Diceros bicornis minor: one gene and its partners. The protein of the gene in region 1 purifies or fractionates together with the protein of each later gene. This does not show direct contact. Links are inferred from orthologs where the notes say so. Each region holds a gene or a part of one and is shown on either strand. Other genes may lie near its edges.

Region 1 (3,748 bases):
CTAGCACTGCCCCCTCTGTGGCTTTTGACCCTGTCTGCAGGGCAGTGGGCAGAGGGTCACTTTCCCAGGCTCACAGCGGGGGTGCAGGGAGGGGCCTGAGACGGGACCATCCTCTCTACAGGGCAGTTTGGGCAGGGGTGCCAAGGCCGGCTCTGGAGCCCTCTGGGAAGGACCAGCCACACCTATGAACAAGTCCTTGCTGTGCTCCCATGGGCGTGTCACCCTTGTACCTGACTAGCCAAATCCACTCAACTTTCTGTGGTCTTTGGGTTTCCCATCCCTTGAGGTTTTACCTGCTCTCACAAACCCCACCATGATGGAAAGGACATGACTTTGACTCAGCAGGTCTGAACTTCTACTCACAGGACCCCACCTGGGAGACCTCATAGGGTGACATACCCTTCCCACTCACCTCCTTTCCAGACCATCCCCCCCAACGACCCCCTTTCCCCAAGCCTTGCGAACAGGTCACTTTCATCACATAAAGCGGTGTTTCCTGGTTCCTAGCTGGGGAGCTGTTGGTTTGCCCCCTGGGCTGCCTGTGAGCCCAGTAGGCCTGAGACTCCACAGGTCCTTGGACATCGCCTGCTGAACTGAACCCAGGCGCCCAAAGGGAGTCTCTCCGGCTGCAGTGAACACTCTGACCACTGAGGCTCCGGGAAGCCTTAGCTGGTGGTCCAGCCCGGGTGGGGTGGGGGCACTCTGAGCTCTTCCAGCACCTCTCAACAGTGTGCTCTATTCAACTGGGAGCTCCTCTGGTGCTCAGGCCTGAATTGGGGGTATGTCCCTCCACCAGTAAGGGGCTGTGGCCAGGTTACCAGGCTAGGCCATCATGGAGGATGCTAGGGGTGGTGGAGTGGGCTGCCACCTGGGAAGCTGGTTGCTTTGAATGGATGGGGTCGGGGTTCTCAAGAGTTGCGGTCGGGACAGAACCTCGGGAGCCAGTTTATTCCGGCCGGCCCTGCCTGATGAGCACCTAGGAACCTTCTGGCTTCCGGCCTCTGTCGCCCCCCTCCCTCCTGCGCTGGGTATCCCCAGGCGGCCAGCGTTCTGCTCTGCTGAGTCATGGTCAGATCCAAGCCTGGGAGGGGTCTGGGGCGGGGACCCCAGCGGGTCCCTTGCCCCAGGTGCAGAGACCAGAGTCCAGACATCTGTCGGAGTCCTTGGGCCGGCCTTTCGGGGTCCCTGTTGTACTAGGGACTGTGACGACAGTGGTCACCAATGAGGCGGCGGGGACGGAGGGGGCGGCAGGCGCGGGGCCCCAGCAGGGCGGCTCGCGCGCGGCGGCCCGGGCGGGGGGGGCGGGGCCGGGAGCGCGCAGGCCCGGCTCCCAGGAGGCCGGGCGGGGCGGGGCTTCCCGCGCTCCCTACAAAAGCCGCGCCCGCGATAGCCGCTGCCGGCTGCGCTCCTGCTCCTCGACACCTGGTGATGGCGTCGCTCACGGTGAAGGCTTACCTTTTGGGCAAGGAGGACGCGGCCCGCGAGATCCGCCGCTTCAGCTTCTGCTTCAGCCCTGAGCTTGACGCAGAAGCTGAGGCCGTGGCTGGCCCCGGGCCATGCGAGCGGCTGCTGAGCCGGGTGGCCGCCCTGTTCCCCGCGCTGCGGCCCAGCGGCTTCCAGGCGCACTACCGCGGTGAGCCGGCCGGCGGCGCGGGGCCGTGACGCAGGCTGCCCGCGGGCCGGGTGGCCGCTTCTTCTTCTCGTCGGGCCTGGTGGCGCCTGCAGGGGTCTGCTGTGGCGGCTTTCTGGGTGGGCGGCGGCCGGCGTGCGACCCCAGTTCGACTTCGGGTGCCAGCCTGGTGACCGGGTGTGATGACCAAGGCTGCGCTTTCGAGCTAGGCGCTGCCGGGGTCTCCGGGCGGATCTCAGGCCCCGGGGCGGGACCTGCCGTCCCTCCCCCAGCTATGATGTCGCAGATGTTGGCAAGGGCGCGCTGGGGCGTCCTCGCCGGCTCGCGGCGGGCACAGGGTGGTCAGGCGGGCACTCAGGTTACAGACGTCTTGCTCTGCGCTGAGTCTGGGTCTGCCGGCGCCAGGTGGGGGTTCAGATAATGCCGTGGAAGCGCCTGGACTGGGCAGACGCGTAGGAAGGGGCGGCGGGGAGAGGACTGACGTCAGTAAACAAGCCTGGGCGTGGGGGGGACCAGGGGCGGTGCGGCCTGGCCAGGAGCCCCGGGCCGGCGGGGAGGGGAGGTCAGGGACACATCACAGAAGCCCAGACCTGGCCAAGTCCAGGCGTTATTCCATTGGCAGCGGTCAGAAGGACAGGATCAAAATGTATTTCAGAAGTGTTGGTGTAGAGACAGAAGCCCAGGGACGAGCTGAGTTTCTTGCTGTACTGGTGTAACTGGTGGCTGCTGGGGTGGGGTTGGGAGGTTTTTGTGGCTGGGAGGGAGGCGGGCAGCCAAGGGCGGCCCCTGGAGGGGCAGTGCTGGGACCTCCCTCAGGAGTGCTGCCAGCTGGCTAGGCCAGCTCCTGGTTTGTTTTGGTAATGATTTTATTGAGCTATAATTTATATACCATACAATTCACCCATTTAGAGTGTACAATTTTTAGCATATTCACAGATTTGTGCAACTGTCATCGCAATTTCAGAACCTTTTCATCACTTTTTAAAGGAACTTGTACTTTTAAAGGAACTGTTAGCTCTCTTCCCATTCCCATTCTCTCACCCCCCAGTGCCAAGTAACCACAAATCTACTCTTTTTCTCTATGGATTTTCCTATTCTGGACGTTTCATATAAATATATAAATGGAATATAATTTATATGCATTATATAATCATACAATATTTAGTTTTTCCTAACTGGTTTCTGCAATTAGCATGTTTTCAGGGTTCACTTATGTTGTAGCGTGTGTCAGTACTTTATGTCTCTTTGTGGCTGAATAATACCCCATTTTATGGACAGACCACGTTTTGTTTATCCATTTCTCAGCTGATGGATGTTTGGGTTGTTTCTACATTTTGACACTGCCCTGTTTTTTTTTGGTTTTTTGTGAGGAAGATCAGCCCTGAGCTAACATTCATGCCAATCCTCCTCTTTTTACTGAGGAAGACTGGCTCTGAGCTAATATCTGTGCCCATCTTCCTCCACTTTATGTGGGACGCCGCCACAGCATGGCCTGACAAGTGGTGCGTCTGTCTGCGCCCGGGATCTGACCTCAGGCTGCCAGCAGCAGAGCGAGTGCACTTAACTGCTATGCCACAGGGCCGGCCCTCCACTGCCCTGTTCTTATGTTGGATGTTGTGGCTGGTGGCCCTCAGACCTGGCCCAGCCTGCAGATGCATGTGGTGCTTTACAGCCCTCTGAGCCAGCATCTAGAGGTTGGAGACTACGTACCAATACATAACGTTAGCTTTGCTGGGGGAGACAGCAGGCAGATGTGCTCATCTGCTTTACTCTCCTAAACCACAAGAGGCCCAAGGCTTTTGGAGGAGCTGGGCCCCCCCAGAGCAGATCACAGGCAGAGACCTCCCACAGTGGAAGATGGGCTGGGGCCTTGCTGGCTGTAGACTGAGGCAGCACCTTCTGAAGGGGCAGATGACAGGCTGCTGCTGCCACTGCACGCACACACTCTGCCTCCTAAGCGCCCAGGGCTCAGCTGAAGTACTTACCTTCCAGGCAGTGGCAGAGTGAATGGGCAGTCTGGTTTCAGCCTGCTTCCCTCTGGCTCAGACAGGTGGGCTTCAGTGTAGAGCCCTGCAAGTGCCCCTTTAGCGCTGGCCTCAGCCCTTTTTGGCACTGGTG
Region 2 (3,748 bases), on another chromosome or scaffold:
CAAAATCTGATTGATACTGTAGAGGATACTACGTGCAAAACAACCCACAACTCTATCTTTTTTTGTAATATTATCAATGATTCTTTCTGAAGCTTTTCCTGCCTTTTCAAAGTCTGGAAGAAACAAGAGGCTTGATTCCTTTAATTTCAGAAGCATGTAGGTCCATTTGTAATAATAAAAAGATTTTATCAAAATTAATTAAATGAATACAGTTTCATTTGTAGGATTGACTTTGATATTATGGATCTATTGAACGAATGGCGACAAACTCTGGAAAGCTAGATTGTGGCAGCCATGGTAACGGGGGACGGGGACTTCTCTCGCCGCATCCTGGGAAGCGCGGCCAGAACGCTCTGAGGAAGGTTGGCCTGTTAGCCACGCCGTAGATCGCGATGCATGCCGGGTCTTGGCAATATGGCGTCCTCCTTGATGTGCTGATGAGAGGAGTTTCACTGTAGCTTCAAACCAGAGGGCAAAACTCCCCAAACCCAGTAAGCCTACATTACTCGTTTTCTCCGCGGCTCCGGGTCGCTCGTTTCTCAGGACTCGTTCTCGGGCAGGAGGGAGCCACGGGGCCGAAGGCCAGGACCGGCGAGACCGCGCGGACCTGGGGCTGAGGAGCCGGCTGCGGGCGAGCACGATGGGCCGGTCCTGGCTCTGGTTGCAGCAGCTCCGGCGATTGCGGGACCCACAGGGCTGAGAGTGGCTGGAGGAGACCCGAGGCGCTCTGAACTTCTTCCCCTCGGCCGGAGACCTCAGCCCAGTCAGCGAACCGGCACCAAGAGCGGGCGGCCTGCCTGTCCTCGAATCGGCTGAGGCGTTGGAGGCCGAGAGCAGGGTCATCGTGAGGCCTGGAGTCTCACACGCCTTTGACAGCTCCGCTCGCAGCCCCTCCGGGGACGTACAGCCTCAGAAGCAGCCAGTGGCTTGGGATCTGGGGGCGTGTGTGTACGTGCGGAGCTCCTTGGGCTGCCCCATTTCCCTCCAGCTTTTCCCAGCCCCTCCGACTTCCCGCGCAGAGTTAAAGAGAAGGATCTCACACTTTTTGCCTGAATAAGGGTCTCCGCATACTCGCATTTCTTTTTCTACTCCCTCTTTTTCTGTTTCTTATTTCACCGATTCTGGTATACGCTAGTTTTTAAGGCTGGAGGTTCTCGAGCGCTTGCTGCCAAGGACTCCACCACCCCCTCCCCCCCTGATGGAGTCCGAGATGCTGCAGTCGCCTCTTCTGGGACTCGGGGAGGAAGATGAGGCCGACCTTACAGACTGGAACCTGCCTTTGGCTTTTATGAAAAAGAGGCACTGTGAGAAAATTGAAGGCTCCAAATCCTTAGCTCAGAGCTGGAGGATGAAGGATCGGGTAAGTGGATTCCAACTGCGCCCCTTGGAACCTGGTAGTCTTTTCACGGAAGAAAGTTCGGAGTTAGAAGAGTGTCCTTGGGAAAGCGGCGATATTTTTCCCAGCCACATGTTGCAAGTTAACTGAAAAGCACAAAAACCATTTCAGACTCCAGTTTTGGGTTGTAAATGGAAAAGCGTGTTTTGGTTAGTAGTTATTCACTGGATAGTGTTAATTCCGTTCAAACTTAGTTCTAATTCAGATAATAAAGGTTAAGTAAGTTCGAAAGTACCGCACTGCAAGTATTTACACGCTCTTTGATACACTTAGTGCTGTTAACACGTGGAGGAAAGACAACTTAAGATATAATACTTGTGTCCACGTGGTTAGTCTACTTTTGTGGTTAGTTTACTTTTTTTGTCCATGCTAGGTGAAGTGCAGAAGTCTAATATAGCATGCTAGGAAACGAGATTACTGACAAATGTTTAGCTAGTAACAAATTAATGCAAAGTTATTTTAAAGTTACAGTGAACTTTATCTAGCCTTCTAAACAATTTGTCTTGAATCCAGACTTTCCTCCTTTTATGTTGTGTTATGTTGCTATAACTTGGAGACAGAATTTCTCCAATCTCTCACTCCCGTAGTGGAGTGAGAGTATAATGGATTGGAATTTGAATCCAGCTTTTAGGAGGTCCCCATGGTGTTGGAGTGTGGACAGTGACTCACAAACAGCTAGTAGGAAGGAAAACAGCCAATTTTGTTGAATCTGCGCTTAATCAACCACCATCTATTTCCTGTTCTCCAAAAGAGCGGGGCTATCTCGTCTATGCACACTTATAATTTGTCTTTTTATGAATTATTTTCTCCTTCAAAACTGTCTTTATTTATTTGAACGTTTTAGTGGTATCAGAGGGGTAATTGGTGTTACAGTACAATGTGATTGCTCTGGGCTTATGAATATGTTTATGTAAGATTATTGTTTTTATTATATGATGTTGGACATATATAAGATTACTCTATGGTAATTCTAGTTAGTCACTAGTAACCAGTGCTTCAGTTAGTGATTTGGCTTACTTTTAAAAGGTTAGGAAAATTTGTTTCCTCCAAAAGTAGTTTAAGGAGTAAAAGAGGTGATCATTGGAAGAGAATGTATAAAGTCTGCCTTATGGACATCTTGAGTACAAATTATATAGTTCAAAACTTTTGTGGTTGCTATGCATATATGAAAAGAAATTTATTTTAAAGTAACCATCTAATTTTTTTTTCATTCTATTAGGAGGGCATTTTTTTTTTCTTTTGAAATGTGATTCCCTCTGCTACCCTAAACCCATGCTCAAACTGTCCAAAACTGATTAATGGATATATTTTTGACCTTTTAATTAAAGCATTAATTTGTTAATGATCAACATTCCCTGATAAGCTCTTCATAGGTTAAGAGAAAGAAAAGTTCTATGAGTCTGAGTAATTACTGAGATTACTACTTAGAAAAGAGCCAAGGGAGAAAGTTTGCTGTATATGACCTTTGCAAGTTGTTGAATAAAGAAGAGAATCAGCAGCTAATGTTTTTAGTTAAGTTTGTGAGAGCATGGCATCTTCACAGTCTTTGGAGACTCTTTCCCCTGGTTAGACCCTGGGGGTACCTTTTAGGTACACCCAACTAGGATGAAGGTTGCAAATTCCAGTGATGCTAAGAGTTGGAAGGTAGCCTAAATGAATGAAACAGGCAGGATATAAGAAGAATAATGGCATAGGTTCAAAACCGACATTTGATTCGTGTGTGATTTTCTGGAGGGTGTGAACAGCAGGGCTCTGACGAGCACATGCCGAAGCAGCTAAAGGGGCAGCTGGGCCTCGGCCAGATTTCTCTCCCTTTCTCTTGCTCTCTTTTTCTTTGAGAAGCCAGAAAACTTTTTTTTTTTTTTTTTAATGTGAAGTCTTTCAATTTTAAAATATTGGCACTAATTCAGATATTACAAACACAAAGTAGTCCAACACTGTAGGCCAAACAAACCCAGTTTGTGGGGTTGGTTCTGGCCAGTGGGTTACCCGTGTGTGACTTCTGCTGTAATATGGCAGCTCCAGGCAGCCGCTCTGACTCGAGGAATCCTGAGCACACAGGCTTTCAGGCCAGATTGTCTCCCTGTGCTGGAGGTGGCCTCCAGCAGTCTGATGGAGCAGCATCTTTGTAAAGCAACACGTGTGGGCCCAGTTGTCCTGTACTAGGACCTACACAGACCACTTTTCTTGGTGGGCTGTTGACTGCTCTTTTTTTTTTAAGAATTTTTTTTTTTTTAATTAATTTATTTTCCCCCGAAGCCCCGGTAGATAGTTGTATGTGATAGTTGCACATCCTTCTAGTTGCTGTATGTGGGATGCGGCCTCAGCATGGCTGGAGAAGCGGTGCGTCGG
Region 3 (3,748 bases), on another chromosome or scaffold:
TATCTCGAACAAAGTAGAGAATCTGAGAAAATGGAGTAAATGAGGTATATTTTCTCCTAAGTATTGTTATTGGCAAATACACGCAAGCCCTGCTGTGTGACAGACCAGATTTGCGTGGGCATTTGGGAAGGAAGTAACTCCCATCTTGTGGTTTTAACTACAGTCTGCTTTTAACTGTATGTGTCAGGTTAGAGGCCCTTACTTGCTTTCCTGTCACGTTGCCATGCTCTTGGTTTACTGCATGTTCAATCAGCTTTCGTGATTCAAAAAAAAAGGAGGGAAAGAATGAATCACTGCCCTGGGGTGCAAGTTGGCAAGGGTGAGTGGGAAGCAAAGCAATAATTGTCAAAAGCTTTCTATGGATTGAGAAATAAATGCAGTGATATCAGTGATGTAACTCTAATCAAAATATGAACGTTTCTTCCCTCAGATAATTGACCATCCAAAAATATTCAAGATGGAGAAAAAGGAAAATCAGAACATGAACTGAGAGCTAATACATGTGTCAAAGAGAAAATAAGGAAATAAATCTTAAATGTAAGACCGGGTTGGAAACCAGTTAAACCAGGCTACTTTTTTACTAGAAGATAATTTGGAAGACAGAGACTTCTAAAAGCCCTAGAAATACTGGACATCACAGGAAAGGGCCCATTTTCCCAGAATTATGAAAGAGCACTAAACGAGGAGTCAAACTATCTTGGCTTTAGTCTTTAGTCTGTTCCTTTCTAGCCTTGTGACTTCAGGAAAGTCACTTAGCTTATCTAAGTCTCAGTTTCCTCATTAGTAAAGTGGAGATAATATGTTTTTCCTATTTAATACTGTTGATTTGATTTGTACATGGATATTAAAGGGCTTTGTAAAGTATTAAGAACCATGGTAACGACAGAGATATTATTAGTTTGGTATTTTCTTATTATTTATTAGTATTTTATTAGTGGGTTGACTTTACTTGTACATGGAAGCTTGTGTGCTATGATTGAGGGATTTCTAAAGGACGAGCTGCCTATCAAATTTCTCCTAAATTGGACTGTGGTAACATGATTAAATCATTCCATGAGATTCTATGTTTCTACAGTCCCTAGGTTATAAAAATCAGAAATATTAAAGTGCAAATGTATCAAAGACAAGACCCAATTCAGCTGTGGCCATCTTAGCTCTTGATCAGCTGGTCACCTAGTAATGTCTTGGGAGAACAGAGCAGAATTGCCACTAGAGGTGTCCAAAGAGCTTGGAGTCACCATGAAAGCACTAAATGCCTGTCAATAGAACTCCAGAGGGGAGCAAGACATTAAGAAAGAGAGCAAAGGTCTTCTGCAAATGGCTTCACAATTGTGACCTAGGCCAATTTGTTCTGCCTGGAGCTAGGGTTTTTGAGAGATGGCAGCCTGTGACTTTTTTTCTTGAATTGCTTCCCAGTGCCTTTTTTACCTAAACAAGTATTCTCACGACAGGATTCTGACAAACCCTCCTGGAGCTATTATGACTTTCCACCAAAAATTCATGCTTCCCACCAGGAAACCATCTTTCCAGACTGGTTTGTATCTGGATGGGGCAGGTGAGTGGATGTGATGTGTGCACAGGCCGAGGTGGTTAACAAGCAAATACACTTTCTCCACTCTCTTTTTTCTTGTCTTCTCACGGGATATTGATGCCAGTGGCGATGCTGGAAACCAAGTCTTGAAGATGGAACGGCCACAAAAAGGAAGGATCTGAACCCAGGCCACCAGTAGCAGAGCGCGTGCACTTAACCGCTAAGCCCTGTGGCCGGCCGGAGCGAGTTTTTTTTTTACTTTCACTACCTGTCAGTCTTGGGTTAGCAGGTGTTCTTCTAACTCACTTGCTATCCTCACTTAGGAATGCAAAGTGATGGTGACTCAATAATTTAGAATTTCGCTGGTCTCTGTGGCAGTGGAAAGGAGGTGCTGGAAAATACACCACGTGTCTGCTCATATTTCACTGACCCAAGCAAATTATATGGCCATGTCCAAATTTAGGAGGATGGAAAGTTCAATCCAGCTGTGGCAGATTGTGTAGTTGTTTTAGGAAATAATTTTCTCTTGTTCTCTGCCCCAGGAACAGAGTCTTCCGCCATCCTGATTTTGTAACTTGCTTTGGCTGATGCAATGTGGGCGGAAGTGACAGCATCCTGTTCCCAGGCAGAGGCTATAAAAGGAGTCTCATGTTTTCACCTTCTCTTTTGCACTCTACCGTACAGCAATGGAAGGGCAGGCTCCCAGGATCCATTAGTTCTTCGTTCAGGCTCCTGGTTTGAGAGACGTGTGACGCTGATCTAGAGCCTGGAGCAAAGCCCAGCGGAACCACTGCTGAGCCAAGACAAATCACAGAACGGTGAGCAAGAAATGTTTGTTGTTATAAGCCGCTAAGATTTCAGATTGTTTGTAACTGGAGCAAAAGCTAATACACTCCATCATGTACTCAGAAGGAAGAAAAAGCCAGAATATTGGTGACTATTCCAGATGACTACCATCTTGCCTTTTAACTGTTGTGAATATTGCAGAAGATAGCCAGCTAATAAATATAGAAGGAGCGATACTGCTAGAAATCACTATTTGCTTATCCTGAAATAATTGATTCACGCAAAAATTATCAATGAATTTTGAAACCATTAGGTGAAAGTTTGTTTGTTAGGAAATAGAATATTTGGATGAGGCCTAAGTATCACCCGACAGATTACTTGCTCTTTGCAAAAGATTAAATGCACCTTTAAAATAGACAGAACTGTTCTCATCAAACCCTGCCTCACTGATAGTGGACAGCTTGACATGTGTGCCTCCTGGTGTAATACAATATGAAGTAGCAGCACTGCCTTTGAAATACCCTTGCCTAAAATGTTTCATCTGTGTTTAATCAAGACTTTTCTAGTCTAGAGTTCCAGTGTATAGGGAATACAGGACACATAGAAGCATGGTAAATACCACTAGGAGAAACAACTCATCAGGAATGTGGTAATTTTATAAGGTGATCATTTTAGACTCTTCAAAATACTGATGTCATGGGGATAACAAAGCATTGCGTGTGTGTGTATGTGTGTGTGTGGCTGTTCTGGTTTAAAAGTAACAAAAGATATAAAACAAAGGTAGTGCATAAGCCATGATTAGATTCTAGTTTGAAAGAACTAACTTAACTATAAAAGCATCTGTTGGGCTGGCCCCATGGCTTAGTGGTTAAGTGCGCGTGCTCCGCTACTGGCGGCCCAGGTTCGGATCCCTGGCGCGCACTGACGCACTGCTTCTCTGGCCACGCTGAGGCCGCGTCGCACATACAGCAACTAGAAGGATGTGCAACTATGACATAGAACTATCTGCTGGGGCTTTGGGGGAAAAAAAGGAGGAGGATTGGCAATAGATGTTAGCTCAGAGCCAGTCTTTCTCAGCAAAAGGAGGATTAGCATGGATGTTAGCTTAGGGCTGATCTTCCTCGCAAAAAAATAAACTGAAATAAAAAAAAAATAAAAACATCTGTTGTTTGCTTTGGGAAATTTGACTGTGGCTTGGATATGGGATAACCGGTTTTTTTTTTTTTTTTTTTTTTTTTTAAGCTGAGGAAGATTCACTCTGAGCTAACATCTGTTGCCAATCTTCCTCTTTTTTTTTTGGCTTGAGCAGGATTTGCCCTGAGCTAACATCTGTGCAAATCTTCCTCCATTTTGCATGTGGGTCGCCACCATAGCATGGCTGCTGATGAGTGGTGTAGGTCCGTGTCTGGGAACCAGACCTGTGCCGCTGAA

The links.
Region 2: the proteins of SQSTM1 (region 1) and RPTOR purify together in Homo sapiens (affinity purification with western blotting; 3 studies listed by BioGRID). This does not show direct contact. The link is inferred for Diceros bicornis minor from reciprocal best matches to the Homo sapiens genes SQSTM1 and RPTOR.
Region 3: the proteins of SQSTM1 (region 1) and interferon-inducible protein AIM2-like purify together in Homo sapiens (affinity purification with western blotting; 3 studies listed by BioGRID and IntAct, with this or other methods). This does not show direct contact. The link is inferred for Diceros bicornis minor from reciprocal best matches to the Homo sapiens genes SQSTM1 and AIM2.

The regions. Positions count from the first base shown.
Region 1 is NC_080740.1:92,813,292-92,817,039, forward strand, and holds the start of SQSTM1 (sequestosome-1), read left to right. Parts: upstream 1-1,393; 5' UTR 1,394-1,428; coding exon 1,429-1,633; intron 1,634-3,748. UniProt on the Homo sapiens protein: Molecular adapter required for selective macroautophagy (aggrephagy) by acting as a bridge between polyubiquitinated proteins and autophagosomes.
Region 2 is NC_080757.1:60,046,896-60,050,643, forward strand, and holds the start of RPTOR (regulatory-associated protein of mTOR), read left to right. Parts: upstream 1-1,187; 5' UTR 1,188-1,198; coding exon 1,199-1,360; intron 1,361-3,748. UniProt on the Homo sapiens protein: Component of the mechanistic target of rapamycin complex 1 (mTORC1), an evolutionarily conserved central nutrient sensor that stimulates anabolic reactions and macromolecule biosynthesis to promote cellular biomass generation and growth.
Region 3 is NC_080743.1:63,954,615-63,958,362, reverse strand, and holds the start of interferon-inducible protein AIM2-like, read left to right. Parts: upstream 1-1,044; 5' UTR 1,045-2,349; intron 2,350-3,748. UniProt on the Homo sapiens protein: Sensor component of the AIM2 inflammasome, which mediates inflammasome activation in response to the presence of double-stranded DNA (dsDNA) in the cytosol, leading to subsequent pyroptosis.